Linked DNA regions of Drosophila melanogaster. The protein of the gene in region 1 purifies or fractionates together with the protein of each later gene. This does not show direct contact. Each region holds a gene or a part of one and is shown on either strand. Other genes may lie near its edges.

Evidence for each region. The genes of interacting proteins can lie anywhere in the genome.
Region 2: the proteins of H15 (region 1) and Set1 purify together in Drosophila melanogaster (affinity purification with mass spectrometry, with the first as the bait; one large-scale study listed by BioGRID). This does not show direct contact.

Annotation. Positions count from the first base shown.
Region 1 is NT_033779.5:5,402,066-5,407,358, forward strand, and holds the start of H15 (H15), read left to right. Parts: upstream 1-2,214; 5' UTR 2,215-2,814; coding exon 2,815-3,127; intron 3,128-4,845; coding exon 4,846-5,293.
Region 2 is NT_037436.4:25,105,283-25,110,617, forward strand, and holds the start of Set1 (SET domain containing 1), read left to right. Parts: upstream 1-2,311; 5' UTR 2,312-2,348; intron 2,349-3,714; exon of another isoform or gene 3,715-3,956; intron 3,957-3,995; exon of another isoform or gene 3,996-4,018; 5' UTR 4,019-4,062; coding exon 4,063-4,322; intron 4,323-4,377; coding exon 4,378-4,627; intron 4,628-4,681; coding exon 4,682-5,335. UniProt on the Drosophila melanogaster protein: Catalytic component of the COMPASS (Set1C) complex that specifically mono-, di- and trimethylates histone H3 to form H3K4me1/2/3. Binds RNAs which might negatively affect its histone methyltransferase activity.

The DNA of each region.
Region 1 (5,293 bases):
GTGGCATATGCAAATGAGATTTCAGGGCAGGAAACAAATCATTGAAAAATTGTCACCGAGCCGCGACAAAGCAAACAAAGCGAGCTGCGGCCCACCCTGTCTGTATCCCTATACTCCAGATACCACATATAGCCGAATGTACTCCCTCCACCGATCCGACCACCATCAACATCACCATTAGTGGCTCAATTGTGCGCCACATCGGCTGGCAACCACGAATCGCATGCAAATGAAACCGCAGAGACAAAAACAACGATTACACCTGGGAAAACTAAAATAAGACGCATTTTGAATTTAAATTTTGCATTTGAGACTAAACATTTTTATTAAATATTTAGATAATAAACACATTCATATCAATATGTTGTAAACTTTAATATAAAAGTTACCAAAACTAAATTTTAAGATAAATGTATTGTAACCAGAACATACAAGACATAAAATTTAAATAGTTTACACTTTCGATAATGTAGCGAAATTATTCAACTTTTCTCGCAGTGCTGGGAAAAGAGGACATCATCCTAGGAGGACGAAGGGCGCAGCTGACGAATTGTGAAAAAAGTCTGACGGAGGGAAACAAGATGGTGGCACCACCAGAGCCCCTTCCCCTCACCCCACCAGTTTCCTCCCTTTTCCATGGGTCTATAATTTTCTGCTGCGTTCACACGCCATAGTCGCATTTTTTTTCCAACCATCTTTTGTTGTTTCCTTTGAGCAAACATTTAAATTAAAAACATTTACATACGCCGGTGGGCGGACAAAAGGGAGGAGTGCCAGGAACCCAGATATTCAATTATGATTTTTCAATTGGAGGACCCAGCACACGAGACACTTTCTCAGATAAGTCCTGTCGCAGGACTTTTTGTTTTTTCTCTTGACGGTCTGGAAAATTATAGGGTGATGGTTAGGATGTTTAAAGGACATTTAAAGGGAATGAATAATTACAAGAATACAAATACATAAATATATTTTTCTTGGAATTTGGTGAAAATACAACTTGTAACGAAACAATTCAATACATTTTTCATAGCTCAAAATTGTACAATTTTTTTGAATAAAATGAGAAAAATGTGGAAACAGAAAACATTTCGAAATATTTTACATAAAATGCTGGCAAACAATAAAATGATGGCAAATGCGGGATAACCCCTTTGTTCATTTTTTACATTAATTTCCTCTCCTGAATTTTATAGATTTCCCTACCATGTTTAAATATGCTTTATAAGGTTATGTTTATAAAACATTCATTTCAATGTTATAGGTTAGTTCTTAATATAAAATCGTTTATTTAAGACTTAAAAAATATGTAATCAAGAACAATAATATTAATTTCAGAGATACCATGAAATTAAATATTATTAAAAGAATTTTTCAATATTCTCAATTTATACAGTAAACGTAACTAGAACGAAACTCACTCGCTTTTCCACTCAACTCAGTGCGCTGTGGTGAATAGCCAATGAGAAACGGAATGGAATCGGACCGAGTTGAGAATAATTGTAAATAGTCGACGAAAAGCGGTGAAACACACCCCCAACCCCGACCAACAAAATCCACTCACACTCACCATAGCAACAACAACAATGAAGCAAAGAACTGTCAACAGCCAAAAACAAAATGACGAATTTATGAACTCCTCAGCGCGCTCTCTTTCGCGCTCCCTTGCTTCTAGCGGCACGAGTGAGATGGCAGCAACAAAAGGCTCTCACTCAAATACGGCTATATAGAGTTGTCTCGCTCTAACACGCGGCTAGCTTATGAATTGGTATTGTTTTGAGTGCATGGGAATGTGTGTTCGAATTGGAAAATGGAAATGAGTTATGCCTCGACGCCGACGTCGCTGCAAGCAGCATGGGAATGCACTGCATGTGTGGCCATCTCGCTCACACCAGTCTAATTGAAAACCGTATTTTTTCCCATATTTCTTTTGCGGTTTAAACTGGCGGTTTGCCTACGTCACGTAAGGAAAGTTTCGGGCCATGTTCTCTGGAAATGTTTCCTTACGTCGCGTTACGTGGTGTTGAAAACCTTTCGCCGTAAGACACATCAGCTGTTGTTGTTTCTGTTTTGGGGGGTCAGTCGACGTCGCAGTTGGCTTCGCTGTCGGCGTCCTCGTATTTGTTGTTGATTTTTGCGTTGCGTTTTTTTGTTGGTTTTGTTGGCTTTGGCTTTGGCGCTTTTGGCGTTTACATGGCGAAAAGCGAATTGGGATTCATTCAATGGTCAGCTGCGTGACTGTGAAGCAGCGACGGCGCTCCGGAATTTCCCGTTTCCTACTCGAGAATACGCAAATTACGATAAATAGCACGAAAAACCGGAGACCGCAAATACGGGCGTAAAGTCGTCAAGTCGCAAAGTGTGTCGTAAAACGTTGGAAAAAATAATACACATTATTTGCAAAAAAAAATTAGACAAATTTTATAATATTTTATTATTTAATAAAAAATCAAACGGCACAAGAATAATAACATACATACATATATAAAAAGGAAGCAAAGCAACTCTGTGTGATAAAGCAGTTTAAATTATTAAAAGCAAAAGCCGGCAAAAAATCAACAAATATGTTGAAGAAAATTGTAAAGAATTCAGTTTAAATCCGAATATAATATTTTAAAGAGCATTAAACAAACAAGTCCCAAAATAGTAGAACTAATGCAAATACAAACATATCAAATAATGGGCAACAAATAGGCAAACGATAAAGAAAATACCAACAAAAGCGGGAAAGAAAGTCCGAAACCTTTGAGAGCATATATTTGGCAAGAATTGGCTAAAATCCGTGCAGCAGCATTACCAATTGGTCTCGGCCCGAAAATGCTTTTGAGCAATCAGCCGGCGAATACGAAACCGCAGCAAACGCCTTCGCCGTCGCAGACGCAGAACTTCAAGTCGAAGCTGCAGCAGCAGATTGTTTCGGCAGCGGCGGCGGCAGCGGCGAACATAGCCAACGGCAGCAGCCATCATCATCATCATCAGAACCATCATCATCACCATCCGCTGAACAACCATCATAATCACAATCACAATCAGCACAACATTTCCTTCGCCACGGATTTCTCAATTGCGGCGATTATGGCGCGCGGCGGAAACGCCCCAAGCAGCCGCGAACCTTCGGAACGCAGTCTGAGTGAGTAAAGTAATTCCCGCACTAAAATATCAGGCCTACATCGCAAACTAGACTCAAGAGCTGTTCAAAAATAGCCAATGCATTTTAGGGCTTCATTTTCGATTGGGTTTCAGAACAATAAGTATCTTGATATCGTTAGTTTGCATGAAACGAGCTTAAAAACCAATCTTCATTTGAGTCCCATCGCTTCATTCATGAACGTATGTTTCTTATGATTCTTGAATTCATATTCAGCTCCTTACTACAAACAAGTTTCACTCTATTAACATATTCAATATTCCATTCTTTCGATTGAGACTAATAAATTGGCCAGTCAAAGTTTGAAAAGATTTTAACTCTGGCATATCTAGCATGTTGATGTTTATCCCAAGTTACGGGCTTGTCTGCTGATTTAACTATAAATATTTACGATCCAGGATTAAAATATGAAAGGCTTGATAAATGATTGAAAATAATCAAGCTGTGACGAAGAGCCAATTATCACATTTATGTATTATTTATGTGAATTTTTTAATTCAGATTTCAGATACAAGATTAGGAAAGTACACTCAAAATCGAAATAGAACTCGATAAAATCACACATAAGAGCAGAAACAAAATGCATTGCCAGAAAAATATATGTGTAGCAAATTGGCTTTGAATACTTGAGACTTGATGAAGAACAAAAGCAAATTAGTAGGTTAGTGTGCTAGCAAGAAAATTGAAATGTAGTTGATATTTCTATATATTTCTAGAAACACGTAAAGCAGTTAGGAAAATATATAAACATATTTCATTGGCTTTGGTAAAGAGTCATGTAATCGATTGCTTAGTAATATTCACTTGCTTTATTACCCACCTCTTGAAAAACTGTCGCAGCTGCATTACATTTCTATATTTTCCACATTTTTTGCTGCCCTTTTTGTGCAATATAAATTATATATTGATGACAATGCAACGTTGATGACTTGATAATTGCAGCAAATGCGCGGCAATAAAATAATCAAAGCCTATTTGAATGCGCCAAAGGGGTTGGGAAATGCACATGACAGGCGCAGAGCAGATACATATATATGTATAATCGCATTTGTATATACACTCTGAATGCAAAACTATTTAGATGCCATAATTGGGCAGAGACAAAAGCGCAAACAGATGCATTCATTAGTGTGAAAACCGACCCCCCCCCCACCATCGTGCACACCATTCTCTTTCAATTGGCAATTTTCATTGGCAATGCCAGCACACAAATACACACGAAATTAACATATGAAATTGCATTTTGAGCAAATAATTGAATTTCTGGCGTAATCTGTAAAATGCATCTGGTCGCGAACTGGATTCTCGTTGGCATTGCTGTTGCGACTCGTCATCGACAACATGCAACATGTTGCAGCCCAGCAGCAACTCCCACATTAACGAGCCACGCTGATGTCTCTCTTTTCTAAGTGCACTGAAAGAATATGCTCTTCTAATATGACAACAAACAATTAGCACTTATGTCTGTTAAGAAATGATATACTTAAATACACATTCTTTACTGTTAGAAATTCGTAGGAATCTTTTTTATAAACTTATAAGCTCTAAGTATCATTATATTTAATATTAATTATTTTTGGTTACTTGTATCAAACATTAATTTTTAATGATTGTGTTTTGTAGTTGCAAGTAGTTGTTTTTCCATAATTGGGACTTAGTTACTGACGCATTCTGCCCCCCATTCATTTCTGGTCGTGTAGGTCCCGCATCTGTGGAGCGCTATTCAGGCCAGGATGCGGACGATGATGTTGACGTTGATGTGGTCGACTGCAGTGACTCGGAAATGCCGTCGGCAACTGCGGCAGCAGCAGCGGCGGCAACAACAGCAGCGGCTGCAGCGGCAGCATTGCAGGCGCAGCAACAAGCGCGTCAGGCATTGCGTGTTGCACAGCAACAACAGCAGCAGCAGCAACAACAAAGGCAGCAGACACATCACCACGCAACAACTGGCAAGCAACAACGCCAACATCACAATCATCACAGCAGCAACACCAACAACAGCAGCAACTCAGGCAACAGCAACACCAACAGCAAATCAAGCAGCCAGCGAGGGCGTTCTGCTGCCGCAGTGGGAGCCGCTGCCACGCCCTCGCCACCGCCGCCCCCGCCCTCGCAAAGTCCGGAGGAACTCGAACGCCTGTCGCCAGA
Region 2 (5,335 bases), on another chromosome or scaffold:
TTTTTATTTGGTGAATTTTATGCTGGACGCTGGAGGTGACTGCTGTTGGTACTTGGATCCCTGATTTTAGTACACTTGCAAAGGATGAATTTGGCATTGTTCGGCAGACGAAGGGATGTTAGTTGTCGGTTTCATTGCATTGTGAATTGTTGGTGTGATACGATCTCGACCTGAATCCACTCGTTTGTTTAGGCGGCTCTGGAGTTCCTTGTAAACAATGCATCTTCGCCAGTTAGCTGTGTGGTTTTCGCCACAGTTGCTGCATAACTTAATTAAACTGTCGTTTTTATTCTAAGGACAGTTTACAGTACTGTGGGCATCGCTGCAAACGACGCAGATAGATTTTAGAGTGCAGTACGCTTTGGTGTGGCCATATTCTTGGCAGTTGGTGCACTGCACAGGTTGCCTGCGCTTGTGTCGCTATTCTGTGGTTATTCTTCGGGGCAGTAAATACTGTAGCTTATATATAGGATGTACTTCATTTTTGTTGTTTTTCTGACTCGATGTCTCCAGTTCGAATTTAAAGAGTGGCTGCGGCTCTTTATTCCTGTGAGAATGTTGAGAATGTTGATTACCGTTTTGACGTTATAGTTCTTCTCCTTTAGTGCCGCGATAATTTCGGATGAGGTCACTGATGTCTCTATTACTATCCCAGCTTCGTTCAGGTACTTGGACACTGATCGGTGGCTAGACTTATCCTAAGTCTGCACTTTCGTTTCTTGTATGTTGCCCTTAGTAAGTGGTGTAACATGGAACTGTTTTCTCTGATAATTGCAGCTAGCTTGTTAACCAGCGCACTTGAGGTTTTCTCACGTATATAAATTGGTGGCGGCTTTATCTTTTTCTGCTCCTGCTCCTGCACTTCGCGGTCATCCAATGGTACAAACCCATTTGAACTTGAGTCATTGGAGCTGTTGGCGCGACTTATTTTCAGTAACAAACAAATAAACAAATAAGCTCTTAACCGAATTAACATTCTTCAAAACTGTGAACGTGACAGTTTTGGTCCAGAGTGTGCGTGGCAAACAGTTTTGGGGTGAATCAATGGAAATTTACAATAAAAATATGAAAAATATCAATGTATGGCAGCGTAGGGCGGTTTGTGGGCGTTAGAGTGGGCATGGCAAAAAGTGAAAAGTTTAGTTGCAACTGCCAAGCTCGTCAGTGTGGCTAAGACTAAACTTTAAAGCATTTTATCACGATCCGCGCCTTATTTCTATGCCTTTCAATTTTGGTCCATTTAAGAGTAATCATTGAGCGATCCGGAATCCATTTAAACACCAAATCGTGAATCGATAAGCCCCCTCATCGTTGACTCAACAAGCCGGAAACTATTGACCGAAGAAATCATCATACGTATTGACGTACACACAGGACAAGTTTATTCTAAAACACTGACCAAATTCGCACAAATTTGTTATATCCATACTTTTGAAAAAGGCTTGCAAAAGGCTTCATTTTATTTTGTTTGTCCATTGCTACCGACAAGACAAAGTCTATTAGCCACACCCACTCTAACAAGCCTTAAAAAACTGCAGCACACTTTCATAAATGTTTTGATGTTTTTTACTAACGCCCACAAGCCGATATTTTTTATTAGTTTTGTAAATTTCTATCGATTTGCCAAAAAAAAATTTGCCACACCCACTTTAACGCTCTAAAGCCACAAACTGGTCACGCCGACACTTTTGAACAGCTTTTAAATTTTTTCTCATTTAATTCCCCAATATTTATCGCGTTCGAATTCACACCAGCTGAGTAACGGGTATCTGAAAGTCGGGGAACTCGACTATAGCCTTCTCTTTTGTTCTTTGCTAAGCTCTAACGCGATGCCTATAAAATGTTAAAATGTCTTAAAATGTAGCACTCATACATACAAGCTAATTTAGTTTAGGAAAGTGAAAGATAAAGGTAAAAACAGCTCAAAACGCATCGAAAACTCCGTGAAGAGTTTCAACCTTAAATTAACAGAAGCAACAAATACTTAAATTAGATATATGTTAGTAATAAAGAGAAAGAGTCTAGTCACACAAGAGTTTCTACCAATATACATATGAAGCAAATGAATTAATGCATTAAGTTATGGCGTTTCGCCAGCTTTGCCTAATATTTTAATACATTTTTTTTTAAAAAAAAGGCTTATTTAGGACGATCTTACATTACATGAAGTATCAGAATTTAGGAAGGGAAAGAATTCATTAAGAATTTGTATACCAACTAAAACTTTTTGGGTACGCGTCTATCCAACATATAGAAATATATAAAATATTAACTGTGGACAGCAATCCACGTGGTGACGAAGCGCATTAGGAGAGTGTCCGGAGGAGACTTAAAAATCTGTAGTTAAAGTAAATTAGTTTTTTTTAAATTTGGGGCTGCTATGCTGTAACTGAACCCACTGTAAACAAATTACTTACAAAAACACGAAAAAATATATGTGTATATAGGGAGACGAAAGTGTATATTTCATAAGATCTATTTAAAATATTGTTTTTTAAAATAATTTCATATCCGAACTGTTGTAAGTGTATCTTGTTAAGTGTTGTTTCTAATCGCAAAAATCTACCAACTTATCGAGCACACCTGTGGTCTTGTTTATGCTTTCTTATCTAAACGAAAACTTTAAAACAAAAAGGCTAGTTGACGACGCTATCCCCTGTAGTTATTAGAATAATTCATTTTTTAAAATCAGATTCACACTTGGCAACTCACTGATATAACCCTAACAAATAAAAACACAGCTGTGTATTAAAACGTAATTTTTTTATTTCAATCTTATATAATGTATAAGTGATGCAAATAACCTAGACACCAAACCCTGTTATCAACATAAGCCCAGAGCCTACTGTGAAAGTTATTTAAATCAATACCACTTAAACGTTTGAACTCCTTAGGCGAAATAAATCTTATTCACGATCGACAGCAACCTAGGTTCAAACATTTCACACGCCTTTACCGTCGACAGCAGACATAAGCACTTTTCAAACTTTTAAACAAAGAGCGTTCGAACCAATTAGTCAGCATTAAAACTTTTTTAAAGAAAATATCCATCCCGTTTACGTATTCATCAGGTAACAGTTTTAAGGAATCGAAATCTTCTGACCAAAGTCCATTTTCGCTGCCCGTGTCCTTGTCACTGATAAAAACCGTTATTATAAGAATAATGCACTTTGTAAAATCAGTTTCAGATTGAAATTCTTACTGAAATTATTAAAATCTTGCTTGTTAATTTTATTTTCGAAGCGAAAACAAAACTTATATGTTTATGGAAGTATTTCGGAAGTCCACAGAACTCACAAAAGTTAAAACAAAAATAGATTTGACTTCAACCAAACTTTTTATTTGATTCTTAATAAAAATTGGTGGGGTATGTATTTAATTACCGTTCAGTTTCGCCCATTATATTATAGAGTTAAGAATATATTATATTATATATAATATATATTATATTATAGGGTTATAGATTAAGAACGCTTAAATGCAACTAAAGGCAACGCAACTACATGAAAGTAATACGTATTTTTTTTTAAATGTAATATATGATTCGGATTATTAACTTTTCTTGGCCTAGAATTTTCTTTACGGTATTATGAAATATAGAAACAACATTTACCCAACTCCCCAAATTAGCCATAGTCTGAACTAGTTATTATTTACGAAATCGATTTCATAATTATCGCCCCTAGAAATCGAAAGCCTCGTTTTTGTGTATTATTTGCATTGTGATTCAATATTTCATATATTTGAGAGTTAATTTTATCATCCAACCAATATAATGATTAAAAAAGTAATTTAATTATTTGTTTTTTAATTAAAAAAGCAGCGTGAACGATTTTAATATAATTATATATTATATATTCGCTGTTGATCCCTTTCAAATAAAAACATCGCAGAAAATTTTTTGTGATATTTCTAAATATTTTTATATTCTATTATTTTGTTAATAAGTAAAATAGGTATGTAAGATTTTATATTCAAGAAGCAATAAATTTCTTTAAAATTGTTGTGTTATATATAGCTTTTACAGTTCCTGAGTTTTAGGTTTGTTCATAATTGACACAGATGCAGGACGTTCGGAATATCAACCTGGTCAACAATTCCAGCAACAGCCATGATTCGTCTCTGGCAAACTCCAAAATGCCGCGCAACTTTAAACTGCTATCTGATCCACAGTTGGTTAAATGTGGTACCAGACTCTATCGTTACGATGGTTTAATGCCAGGAGACCCGTCCTATCCAACAATAACACCTAGAGATCCTCGGAATCCACTTATTCGCATACGCGCCAGGGCTGTTGAACCACTTATGCTTCTTATTCCGAGGTAACCATTGCTTAAATTAAAATATTTCAGCTAAACACCTGGTCCGTACCCATAGGTTTGTCATCGATAGCGACTACGTGGGCCAGCCACCTGCAGTCGAAGTTACAATAGTGAACCTAAATGATAACATCGACAAGCAATTTCTTGCTAGCATGCTGGACAAATGTGGAACATCTGATGAAATAAATATTTACCATCATCCCATCACAAACAAACACTTGGGCATTGCACGTATAGTGTTTGATAGTACAAAGGGAGCGAGACAATTCGTTGAAAAATACAATCAAAAGTCTGTAATGGGAAAGGTATGATGAAGTTTTTCAGCTTTTGTCTTGTTCTAATGTATCTATGTATTGTAGATCTTAGATGTGTTTTGCGATCCTTTTGGTGCCACATTAAAAAAATCTCTTGAGAGCCTTACAAATTCAGTCGCTGGAAAACAATTAATAGGTCCAAAAGTAACACCGCAATGGACATTTCAGCAGGCGGCTTTGGAGGACACCGAATTCATCCACGGATATCCTGAAAAGAACGGCGAACACATAAAGGATATCTACACCACACAAACCAATCATGAAATTCCAAACCGCAGTAGGGATCGAAACTGGAATCGCGACAAGGAAAGAGAAAGAGATCGCCATTTTAAGGAGCGCAGTCGACACTCGTCAGAGCGAAGTTATGACCGTGATCGTGGAATGCGAGAAAACGTTGGAACTTCAATAAGGCGTCGCCGTACTTTTTATCGACGCCGTTCTAGTGATATATCGCCGGAAGATTCTCGGGATATATTGATCATGACAAGAGAAAGATCTAGAGATTCAGATTCACGTCCTCGTGATTATTGTCGTTCTAGGGAGCGAGAGTCGTTTCGAGACCGTAAAAGATCTCATGAAAAAGGCCGAGACCAGCCCAGAGAAAAAAGAGAACATTATTATAACTCATCTAAAGATCGAGAGTACCGCGGGAGAGATCGCGACCGATCTGCTGAAATCGATCAAAGGGATCGCGGAAGT